Linked DNA regions of Sus scrofa. The protein of the gene in region 1 interacts with the protein of each later gene in a pairwise test. Links are inferred from orthologs where the notes say so. Each region holds a gene or a part of one and is shown in the gene's direction. Other genes may lie near its edges. The genes, in order: PPCDC, TXN2 and FOXR1.

Region 1 (3,644 bases):
GCAAAGGAGCACAGAGGAGAGCGAGCCTAGGGGCAATGTTGTCAAGAAGCCTTCCCAGTGGGGCTGGTGCCAGGCTGGCAGGGCGGCTGGAGCAGGTCAGGCTCCCGGCCACTTTCATCTTCTTGGCTGAGTGTTGTGTGTAGCCAGCACCGTCTCACCAGATCTCCAGGCTTCCCACCGGCTGGCGAGCAGCCAGCTGATGTGACAAAGCACACTGACCTCCAGGAGCTAAGCCCCGGTCTGGCCAACTTTGTGAGGTCTCCTTCCTTCCTTCTGAAAGCTGTTTTCCTCTTTTCTTCAAAGCTCACCACTCCCTGAAATCTTTAGGGTTTCCCTCCTACTGAGTTGGCTGCGCAATGGATCATGTTCTCAAGATGAGCCCCGAGGCCCTTGGCCTCAAAGGTTGCATTTGAAGGCACAAATACTTCAAAGAACTGAAGAGCTTTTTTTTTTTTTTTTTTTTTTTTTTTGGCTTTTTAGTGCTGCACCCGCAGCATATGGAAGTTCCTAGGCTAAGGGTCGAATAGGAGCTGTAGCTGCTGGCCTATGCCATAACCGCAGCCACAGCAATGTGGGGTCCAAGCCACATCTGCTACCTACACCACAGCTCACAGCAACGCTGGATCCTTAACCCACTGAGCGAGGCCAGAAATCGAACCTGCGCCCTCATGGATGCTAGTCAGATTCGTTTCTGCTGAGACACGACGGGAACTCCAAAGAACTTCAAGTCTTATAAAGTTTAAACTATTGCCATCATGATCTGTGGCTCTGTCTTCTCTCAGAAGATATTTTTTCCTTATATAACCCCCAAAGACACTTGCCCTGCTTCCTCCCTCCTTCAGGTCTTCTTCCTTTCCAGTATCCAGAACTTGGGGTGCTATCAGGGCAGCGTGCTAGGCATGAACCTGTGCTCCCAATCTCTGGGCCCTGGGCCTGGGTGAGGTGCATCTGTCCTCTGGCCCTTCTTTGTTCTCAGTAATGCAGCAGATCCAGAAAGAGAAGGTGACTTTCCTGGGTCACCAGTCCAGCTGGGAGCTGGTCTTCTGACACGGATCCAGGGCTTCTCTTCACCCAAGTGGATTCCCAGGGGCAGAGCCTGAGGTGCTGCACACAACATTGGCCAAACAAGTGACTGTGGGAACTGATGCCTCCTTTCAGCCCTCCTACTGCTGGAAGGTTTGGAGGAGCTGTGGTTTGTCCAGGAAACGCTGAGCTTTGAGATGGGGTGGGAAAAGCTAGAGAGGTGGGGGGGCATGGAGATGTTGGGTTTGTGCTCTGGCTGGTGTGTTTTGCTTTGAGCGCCTTTAGAAACCCCAGCCCTGCCTCTGCCTCCCACACAGTCAAGGGGCTCTTCTAGGGATGCTCATGACTTCCACAGAAGCAGCAGGTGGCACGTGGCCAAGAGGAAGTGTGGACTGAAACTGTCCACTCATAGCCTGGTTGCCTCATTACGAGGACTGGGTGGGAAACAAACACTGGTGTCTGGGACGACGCAAGCAGCCAGATCCTGAGGCTGTGTGCTGTCCCACTTCCTTCCTGTCCTAGGAGAGGGCAAGGGCACTGAGAAGGACAGGCATTTTCTCTGGCCTGTTTGTGGCATTGTTGTCTGGACTCCCCCTCTTTTCCCAGACAGGATCCACTTCAGGGAAAGGGTGTGTCAGCCGCTATCTCCCTAAAGGGTCCACAGCCCAGGCAGAGGCACCTGGAGCAGTCAGAGCCCAGGGGAGCACATTCCTAGGGGACTCAGAGCTTATTTCTCCCCGAGACACCCCTATCCTTGTTATAATAACAGGAGCTACTATTTCTGGAGGCCATACTTTGTGCCAGGCCTTGTGCGAAGAGCTTTATAAGTGAGCACACACCCTCTGTCCTCATGACTGCTCGGTGAGGGGGCTTTTGCAGAGAGGAAGCTGAGACTCCTGGCGTGAAGGAACAAGTGTTCAAGTTCTCATGGCTAGTGACAGCAGATAGCGCAGCAAGATTTGAACCCAGGTCCACGTGATTGCAAAGCTCACGGCACTGAGGACTCTGTGAGCTGCTTCTGTCTGCAAGGGCCGGCTCTGGGGAAGACATTGCTTGGGCACAGGGAGCCTTGTTTGCACAGGAGGAGAGGTCTGCTTAGAAGTGGCTGGGTCATTGCCAGAGTTGGTAGAGCATCTCCTGTGTGTAGCCTGTGGGGAGGTGAGAGGACCAGGGGACATGGCCCCACCCCGAGGCTGAGACAGCTCCACAGACAGCAAACTGAGCCCACAGTCCCCCCACCCCCCTCTTCACAGACCTGTGTCATCCGGGCCTGGGACCGCAGCAAGCCCCTGCTCTTCTGCCCAGCAATGAACACTGCCATGTGGGAGCACCCCCTCACTGAGCAGCAGGTGTGCCAGCTCAAGGCCTTCGGCTATGTCGAGATCCCCTGTGTGGCCAAGAAGCTGGTCTGTGGAGACCAAGGTGGGTGTCTGGCCAGGCTCACAGCTCATTCCTACGGCCTGGGGCTGGGGCAGGGCTCAGCTTCAGATCCTAGTCTGCTGTGACCTCAGGTAAAACCCTTCTCCTTTGAGCTCGGCTTTCTCATCTGGGAAATGGAAATGGAAATTCTTCCTTGTCAGAGTTGTTAGGATTAAATGAGACAGTAAAATGCCTCGCATCTTCCCTGACATGCAGCCCACATAGTTCAGATGGCTACTGTAACCATTCCTGGGACTGTCCGGAGGGTTTCGTGGGAGGGACTGGATGGGTCTGGCTCAGCCCTGGTCCTGCCCTTCCCAGGCCTCGGGCTCTGGGTGGGGCACTGGGGAGCACTGGGTGGGGTGGGTGGGGAATGGTCCCCTGCCTCAGTCTGCAGGGTCACAGTAGAGCTCTGCTCCCCAGGTCTGGGGGCCATGGCTGAGGTGGGCACCATTGTGGACAAAGTGAAAGAAGTCCTCTTCCAGCACGGTGGCTTCCAGCAGAGTTGAACCCGGGATTCCGTCACACATGTCCCTCCGCACTCAGCATGTTTTCAGGCCAAGTTGGTGAAGAAGGTGGCCTTTGACAAAATGGGGTGAAGACTCCCTGCATTTGCTGAACAGGGATCTGACCTGACCCAGGTTAAACTAAACCAAAGGCCCAGGTCCCAACTTCTTTCAACCAGGAGCCACCTGCTTTCTGGAGTTCTTCTCCAGCTTTTCCTGGGATGGGCGCAGCAAGTCCGAGGAGCAAGCTGCGGTATTGTGCCTGTGCTTCGGGAAGGGGACTTAGGAGTGACTGAGAAATCTTGATCCTCCATGGCGCCCAGGAACTGCTTTTAGAAAGAGCCACGGCTGGTGATCCCCAGGCCTTTGGAGCTTCAGCTCTTTGGTGGGTACAGGGAAGCCTATGAATTGGCGGGACCATGCTGTGAGAGGAGTACTGAGAATAAAGAAAAGTGACTTTTGGGGAGACTCCGTTCTTCCTTTATGACTCCATCCTTCCTTTACAGCCTGTCCGGGGTTTTGGTGATTAGGGGCATCGCTAGTTGTGGCTGGGGAAGGGTCTGGGCTGGCAGCTGACCAGCACTTCCTAGTCCCCATGTCGTATGATGATTAAGGGCAAGGGCCTTTGCAGCCAGACAGCCCCTCGTCAGATCCCAGCTCTGCCACGTACTAGCTGTGGGACGTGGCTCAGGGCTC
Region 2 (4,227 bases), on another chromosome or scaffold:
CACGGGAGAGACAGACACTGTGCAGTGTGTTATGGACAAAGCACCAGAGAGAAAAAGGCAATTAATGCTGCTCAAGAAGTATGAGTAGGTGTTCTACCGAGTGGACATAGAAAAAAGGCTTTCAAGTTAAGCAAAGGCAGGGAGGAGGGAGAAGCATTGATTTATTCATAGAACCATAAGAAGTTATGAGTGGTTGTAAGGTCTTAGAGCCAGATTTAATCCCTCAAACTGCCGACTCCCTTATCTTGTTCAACCAAGAGCAGCCTGTTCTGGAATGATGACTGCCCTAACTGCATTTTGTCTTTGCTAATCTTCAGTTCCCACCATATCATGGAACATTGTTACAACCCCTCACCTCTCCTCCTACCCCTCCCATGTAGCCTGATGCCAGCCCTGACACTGGTTACTTTAGCCACAAGCCTCTATAAAACCTATTCCCCCGCTAATACCAGGGAGCCTGTGCTTTCTCTCAGTGCTTCTGGCCATCTTCTGTTCAGTAAACCTACTTGAAGCCTCAACGCTCTGGACTCTCTGCCTCTATTTCTGCTCTGAAACCCCACAGCCCTTTCCTGCTCTAACATAGGTAAAGGGTGCAAGGGAGACAAGGGGTGGCTGTGAGACCAGCCTGAGACACACAAATGCCTAGACTCCTGTTGTCCATGACAGCGACAATGGGTGAGAAAGGAAGGCCCAGGCCCAGGTAGATTCAGGGATCATCACACTTTGCCTGGGGCCTCAGAGGCAGGCCCTCCAAGTATCACTACCAGTTGGCATCTTGTCTGGGCCCAGTTTCTCAGCAATCCCAAAGAGACAAGGGTGGAAGACAAGCTGAGCTTTTCATGTCACATTTTGGGAAACTGAAGTCCCCAAGGGCAGGAAGACTTGCTCGAAACCACGAAGTTATACAGTCACATATGACAAATACGAGTCAGCGTTCTCTGGACTCCCAACTGAAGTCTTTTGCTTCGAAGCGACATTAGGACAATGAGACAAAAGGGTGGACATGCTGGTCAGCAAGTGTTTGCAAACTCGAGGACCACGCCTCCCCACCGCCCTTCTCTCCGCCCCCCCCCCTCCCTGGCACTCCCGCCTCCTTCCCCTCCTCTTCCGGACCCTCCTCCGGAGCCCTCCGGCCTCTTCCTGTCCCTCCCCAATGATCCGCCCCTCTTCCGGTTCCTCCCCTAAGAGCCCGCCCATCTTCCGGTGTCTCTTTTCAAGAACGCTTCTCTTCCGGTCCCTAACGGAGGCTCCGCCCGTGCCTGCCCTCTAGTTGAGGACTTGCTCAGGTTGCCTTTCCCGGAAGTGACGCTAAGGCCCGCCCCTCAGGAAGTGACGACAGAAGTGCCCTTGACCGGTGGGGCGGGCCGTGCTGTGCGTCGCTTCGCTCTCGTTGCTGGGAGGTAGGGGCCCTGTGGGGATGGTTCGAAGTGGTATCGCGGCTGAGGCGCCTCTGCAGGCGCGTTCCCATGCAGGCCGATGGCCGAGCGGGCAGAAACCCTGGGTGGGAGGAACTTGCCATTCGGGGAGCCGGGGTTCCCAGTTCCTTCCACACACACGTCCCTTCTTTATTAATTCCCCCCCCACCTGCTCCCGTGTCACTTCGTTCCTATTTGAATTGTTGCTTGTCTTCTTTCCTGAACCTTTGACAACTCTCCTTTGTCTTTAATTTCCCATTAAAACTCCTTTTAAAAGAGTAATCGATAGAGTAAGGACTTTTCAGACTGTCGTGGGCTCTAGTGTCGACTCTCCTTTAATAATTGGGTTGCTTTGGATATGTCACAATTTGCTTGAGCTTCTAAGTCCTTATCTATAATATGAGCAGTAGTACAGTAGAAACTTCTTCATCGTTGATCTGGGAGGACTCTAATGCCTGTAAGATACCTATCTCTTAGCAGGTGCTCCATAAATATTGATTCCTTCCCCCCTTCCGTCTGTTGTAATTTCACCAATATCCTGCTTTTTGGGTTGTCGACCTAGTTTTCCCATCCTGGTTTTCGATTCCTTTTTCCCCTTGATTCTCATTCTTTACTCACTTTTCCTCCAGAAGTCTTATGTATTATTTCCCAACATTTTGTTTCTGGCCCTGCATCTTGAGCCCCCTGGTACTCCCACATACCTTTCTGATTTCTGGTGTGTTGACTTCCTGTTCTTTGCCCCTACTCTTCCTACCTCTTCCCTTCACAGATGGCTCAGCGTCTTCTCCTGAGGAGGTTCCTGGCCTCTGTAGTCTCCAGGAAGCCCTCTCATAGTCGGTGGGCACCCCTCGCTTCCAGAGCCCTGCAGACCCCACAGCTCAGCCTTAGTAACCTGACAGGAACACCCAGCCAAGCCCGGTCATTATACACTACCCAGGTCTGTACAACAACCTTTAACATCCAGGATGGACCTGACTTTCAAGACCGAGTTGTCAACAGTGAGACGCCAGTGGTTGTGGATTTCCATGCACAGTGAGTCCTGGGGGGGTCAGTAGAAGACTGGGTGTCACTTGTTCTGGTATTTATTGAGCACCTGCTATGTCTCAGTACTATGTTTGATGCTTCTCACATAGAGATCGGTGAGACCGAATCCCTTATCTCAAAGATTAGTGTAGTTTGGTAGGAAACCGACTAGTAGGAGTTCCCGTTGTGGCTCAGCAGGCTGAGAACCCAACTAGTATTCGTGAGGATGTGGGTTCGATCCCTGGCCTCGCTCAATGGGTTAATGGTCTGGTGTTGATGTGGCTGTGGTGTAGGCCGGCAGCTGTAGCTCCTATTTGACCCCTAGCCTGGGAACGTCCATATGCTGCAGGTGAGGCCCAAAAGAGAAAGGAAGAGGCAGACTAGTAAACAATCTTCAGTCTTCAGAACACTCCGTGGGTATTCCCATGGTGGTACAACGGCATTGGCAGCAGTTGTCTCTGCAGCTCCAGGCCACAGATTTGATCCCTAGCCCAGCGCATTGGGTTCAAGGATCCATCGTTGCCACAGTTGCGATGTAGGTCCCAATTGCAGCTCAGATCTGGATCTGATCCCTCCTGGGAACTCCATATGCCTTGGGGTGGCTGTAAAAGAAAAAAGAAAAAAAAGGAAGAAAAAAAAAGAAAGAAAAACTCCAAATAGTGCTGTGAAACAGTTATGTTCTGTATCTCACTGCCCAAGTGGCTCAGGTCATCTTTAGCTTGGACCAAAGCAGGAAAAATAAGGCTGTAGTATCATCTGGCTTTTGGTATATTACCAGTTCCTGACTCTGCAGATAATTGTGTTTAACATCTTGCCACCCAAGCGGAGAAGGGCTAGCAAAAAGTTGTCAGTTCCACTGATAAAAGTTAACAGTTGGGTGCCCAAGCGTGCACTGGATGGACAGGAGTTTCTTTCTGGTGCCCTGTGAGTTTGTTTAAAGGATATTTAAATGCCTATGGCATTCTGGTTGTCGGTCTGGCCTTTTTTTTTTTTTTTTCGGTTGTTATTGTTGTTGTTGGCCTTCTTCCTTTCCAGACCTTTGGAGCCTGGCTGGATGCCTGGTTCTAAAACTACTGGACAAACCTTTCAGAATAGGGCATCCTTGGATTTCCCGTGTGGCTTACGACAGAATGGGGCATCCTGAAATGGGAGCCTGAGTTAGAAGTTGGGAGACCTTGTGGGCAAACCACTGACAGATTCTTTTGCTTTCCTTCGCCTTCTTTCTCTGACTCACCATGCTGCCTTGGGCAGGCCATGTGATGACCTTATGCCTCCCTTTCTTCACGTGTGGTAGGAGCTAAGGTCTTGCAGACGGGGCTTTTAGGTGTTGTGAGTTCATTAATTGAAATCTCTGAATGCAGAGGGTCTTCAAAGCTGAGAATAAATTAGGAGTCACAGGGAGTTCCCGTTGTGGTGCATTGGAAATGAATCCGACTAGTATCCATGAGTTGGATCCATGGCCTTGCCAGTGGGTTGGGGATCTGCCATTGCTGTGAGCTGTGGTGTAGGTCAGAGATGCAGCTCAGATCCTGAGTTGCTGTGGCTGTGGTGTAGGCTGGCAGCTACAGCTCTGATTTTACCCCTAGCCTGGGAACCTCCATATGCTGCAGGTGCAGCCCTAAAAAGCAAAAAAAAAAAAAAAAATTAGGAGTCATCAGGCAGGGGTTGGTGGAAGGCAGAGCTGTCCTGCCCTCCTGGTCTGCTGAGCACATTGGAGAGAGCTTCCCAAATGAATGATTTGGGGTGGGGGAGGAGACACATGCCTCATCTTCCCCAGCAAGGAAGCAGG
Region 3 (4,243 bases), on another chromosome or scaffold:
AAACTATACATAAATCTACCATATGACCCAGCAACCCCACTCCTGGGCATATATCCAGATAAAACTTTCCTTAAAATCACACATGCACCCTCATGTTCATTGCAGCTCTATTCACAATAGCCAAGACAAGGAAACAACCCAAATGTTCACTGACAGATGATTGGATTAGGAAGATATGGTGTGTATATATACACAATGGAATATTAGCCATAAAAAAGAACAAAATAATGCCACTTGCAGCAACATGGATGGAACTAGAGACTCTCATACTTAGTGAAGTAAGTCGGAAAGAGAAAGACAAATACCATATGATATTACTTATATCTGGTATCTAATATCCAACACAAAAGAACCGTTCCACAGAAAAGAAAATCATGGACTTGGAGAAGAGACTTGTGGTTGCCTGGGGGGAAGGGGAGGGAGTGGAATCAATTGGGAGCTGGGGGTTAATGGATGCAAACAATTGCTTTTGGAATGGATTAACAATGAGATCCTGCTGTGTACCACTGAGAACTATGTCTAGTTACTTATGATGGAGCATGATAATGTGAGAAAAAATACATATACATGTATGTGTAACTGGGTCCCCATGCTGTACAGTGGGAAAAAAATTGTATTGGGGCAATAACAATAAAATAATAATAAATAAATAAATAAATAAAAATGGAAAAAAAAAGAATCATAAATGGATGCTCGAATTAGTGGGTCCAAACTTGATGAGAAACAGGATTTCCTTGTTTTTAGGAAATATTCATTGAAGTATTTATGGGTAAAGGGACATGAGGTCTGCAAATTACTCTCAAGTAGTTCAGAAAAAAATAACATACCTCTTACACAGAGAGAACAACAAAAATGTGACAAAAAAACATTAATAATAATTGGTGTAATTGGTGACCTACCGGATTTAGGTATACTGGAATTTTTTTTCCCCACCTCTGGGGTGCACACAGGGCATGTGGAAATTCCCCAGGAGTGGGGTGGGTAGCAAATATGAGCTGCAGCTGCGACCTATGCAACAGCTGCTAGGGCATATAGAGTGGATATGGAATCCAGGACAGAGAAAACTCCAGATCCTCAACCTGGTGCACCACAGTGGGAACTCCCTTTAAAAAAAAAATACTGGCATTTTTTATAGTAATCTTGGGGCTTTTCTGTAAATTTGAAATTAAAAACAAGATTTTAAAATCACCATCCCAAAATCACATCAAGTCAAATCATAAAAATCACCCTTTAATCCTATCTCCACCCTGTACTAACAGATGCGATTGTGGATAAACCATGAAATCTTCCGAACTCCTAGAAAGTAGCTTTTCATACCACTGCGGGTTCATTCTTAAATGACAGACTGATTTACTAAATTAAATAAGGGCTTGGAGCAAATGTAGACTGGGCAGAGGGCCTGGGATACCTCCCTTCCGGACCCCCAAACTGCCCAAACCCCCCTTTGAAAGCGTGCGGGGTTGCGGAAAGACGTGGCGTGGAGCACTCAGCAGAGGCCCGGGATCAAGGGTGTCAGATGGGGACTCTGCACACCTGAGCGGGCTCCAACCTAACTCCATCCCAGAGCGCGGGGATTTGAGGAAGTGCCTCCCAGGCCTCAGCCTCAGTCTCTCCCGACTCGCGCCCACCCTGTGGCTGGCTCTCCCTCCTCTCTCTAAACGTGGACCTGAAACTCCAGCACCTCGACTTCTGGGCCAGCCTCCATGGCCAGGTCCCAGGATTGTTGGACTGGGACATGGGGAACGAGTCCTTTCTGGCCTTCACCACGACTCACCTGCCCTTAGCGGAACAGAACCGTAAGTGTCTGGGCTCGGGCCGTGGGGGAGGGGCGCGCCGCGGTGGGTCGGGGGCTCGTGGGAGCGGATTCCTCGGCCTTTGACCTTCTCGCCGACCCCCCAGCCCCGTGATGAGGTCGCCTTTTGGGGCCCCGCGCCCCCTTTGCTGAGCCCAGGAGCCCCCTCCACCCCGCCCCCATTTTTTCCAAGTGGCTATGGGGTCTCCGCCTCGACCGAAAGCCCACGGAGGGCAGGGGTCCTGCCTGAAAACGACCTTTAAACCTTACCACCACCCCCTTTCCGGCTCCGTCCCAGAACCTTCTAGGCCTCTTGCCTTTTCCCCGTGGCACCTACGCCATTTGGACCCGTCGCGTATTTCGCTCATTTGTCTCTTCAAAAATTTTCTTCTGTTAATTTTGTTCATCGCTGTATCCCACTTCTTAATACATGTCTGACACCTTGAGGTGCTCAGTATTTGCTGAATGGGTAGTTGACTGTTGTCTGTAAAAATACCTATTTTTTCCTTTGGTCTCAAGTGTTGAGAGTTGAGGTAATCACCTCCCACTTTCCTGGTACATGATTGCCTCTGTTCCAGCAAAGTGCTTGGATTAATTTATTTTCCTCCTTCAATCCACCCTTTTTGCTGCCTCCCACACACTCAAGTATCTACCCTAATCCATTTAATGTCCTTAGATAGGTGTATCTTTGAAAACTGTTTAGCATTTTGTTGTTTATAGGTGACCTTAATTTACATAATGCTCATTGGTTTTTTTTCCCTATTCACATTGTTTTTGAGAGTAATTTGAGTTGCTTAATGGAGATCTGGTTCATCATTTCTGACTGCTGTGTAGTATTCTATCATCTGCATTTACTACCTTTTGCATATATATATATATATATATATATATATTTTTTTTTTTTTTTTGGCTTGTTAGGGCCACACCAGAGGCATATGGAGGTTCCCAGGCTAGGGGTCCAATCAGAGGAGCTACAGCTGCAGACCTACACCACAGCCACAGCAATGCCAAATCCTTAAGCCACTGAGCACAGCCAGGGATTGAACCCTCAACCTTGTGGTTCCTAGTCGGATTCATTTCCACTGCACCATGATGGGAGCTCCACCTTTGCATTTTAATTCACCTTCCTAATGGAGACAAAACTCCATTGGAACTCTTTGCCATCATAAGTAATGACATTCCTTTGTCTTCACTGATTAAAAGAAATATTTATTGAGTACCTCCAATTTATCAGGCAGTGTTCTGGATACTCACATGATCCATAATGAACAAAACAGACAGGTCTTCATGGAGCTGATATTCTACTGGGGCCAAACAGACAATCCACATTAAAATATTTATATAGTATGTTATAAGATGATAGCTGAGATGGGTTGTTGTTTTTTAAAGGACTCTGTAAGAGGTCTCTGGAATCAGGGTGAGGAAGTGGTAGAAGCTACAGTTTTAAATAGGGTCATCAAGCTGGTCTGATTTGGGAAAAAAATATTTGAAAAGAGTTGAAGGAGGTGAGGTAGTGAGCCAGGAGGATACTTAGAGGAAAAGACTCTATTGCAGAAGAAATAGCCTGTGTAAAAGCCCTCAGGAAGGAATATGCCTGGAAGTGTTTATGGAACCGGTTAACAGGCCAGTGAGGCCGGAATCAAAGCAAATAAAGACAGAGTTCCCATCGTGGCTCAGTGGTAACCAACCCAACTAGTATCCATGAGGACGCCAGTTCAATCCGTTCAGTTGCTGAGAGCTGTGATGTAGGCCGGCAGCTGCATCTCTGGTTTGACCCCTAGCCTGGGAACCCCATAAGCCGCAGGTGTGGGTCTTAAAAAAAAAAAAAAAAGTAAATAAAGAGGAGAGTTCAGACTCGTGAGGCGTGGAGCAGAGATCAGGAAGAGACCTCTTCCACTCTGGGGGCACTGGGATTGACCTTAAGTAAGATTCTGAATGGCGAAAAGGTTTGGAGCGGAGGAATGAGTGTGTGATAGGATGCCTAACTTGGTTTAATCTTCTGCTATCACTAATAATCTTAAAATCATTAAGATTATAATTCCCACTGTGGTGCAGTGGGTTAAAAATCTGCAGCTGCTCAGGTCATAGCTGTGGCTCGATGGCCTAGGAACTTCCATATGCCACAGGTGCAGCCATAAAATATATATATATATACTTTAATAATTTTTGAACAAGGAGCCCCACACTTTCATTTTGCACTGGGCCCTACAAATTATGCAGATTGGACCACTAGGGTGGTGGCAGAGGATATGGTAAGAAGGTAGAACCAGCTGGATTTGTTTGATGGATTGGATGTGTGGTTTAAGAAAAAGAGATTAGAGGATGACTCCTTCAGAGTTTTTGGCTGATCAAGTGGAAGGATGGAGTTGGACTGAGATGGGGGAAGCTTCTGGTAGAATGGTTGAGGGAGGAAAATCAGGAATTCTGTTCTGGACATGCTCAGTTTGAGAT

What was found.
Region 2: the proteins of PPCDC (region 1) and TXN2 interact in binary tests that used the Homo sapiens proteins (3 or more experiments, as listed by UniProt). The two-hybrid records come from large-scale screens. The link is inferred for Sus scrofa from reciprocal best matches to the Homo sapiens genes PPCDC and TXN2.
Region 3: the proteins of PPCDC (region 1) and FOXR1 interact in binary tests that used the Homo sapiens proteins (3 or more experiments, as listed by UniProt). The two-hybrid records come from large-scale screens. The link is inferred for Sus scrofa from reciprocal best matches to the Homo sapiens genes PPCDC and FOXR1.

What each region holds. Positions count from the first base shown.
Region 1 is NC_010449.5:58,525,279-58,528,922, reverse strand, and holds the end of PPCDC (phosphopantothenoylcysteine decarboxylase), read left to right. Parts: exon of another isoform or gene 1-456; intron 457-2,276; coding exon 2,277-2,445; intron 2,446-2,865; coding exon 2,866-2,951; 3' UTR 2,952-3,416; downstream 3,417-3,644. UniProt on the Homo sapiens protein: Catalyzes the decarboxylation of the cysteine moiety of 4-phosphopantothenoylcysteine to form 4'-phosphopantotheine and this reaction forms part of the biosynthesis of coenzyme A.
Region 2 is NC_010447.5:11,263,259-11,267,485, forward strand, and holds the start of TXN2 (thioredoxin, mitochondrial), read left to right. Parts: upstream 1-1,380; 5' UTR 1,381-1,417; coding exon 1,418-1,456; intron 1,457-2,184; coding exon 2,185-2,447; intron 2,448-4,227.
Region 3 is NC_010451.4:46,207,349-46,211,591, forward strand, and holds the start of FOXR1 (forkhead box protein R1), read left to right. Parts: upstream 1-1,401; 5' UTR 1,402-1,735; coding exon 1,736-1,796; intron 1,797-4,243. UniProt on the Homo sapiens protein: Transcription factor which acts as both an activator and a repressor.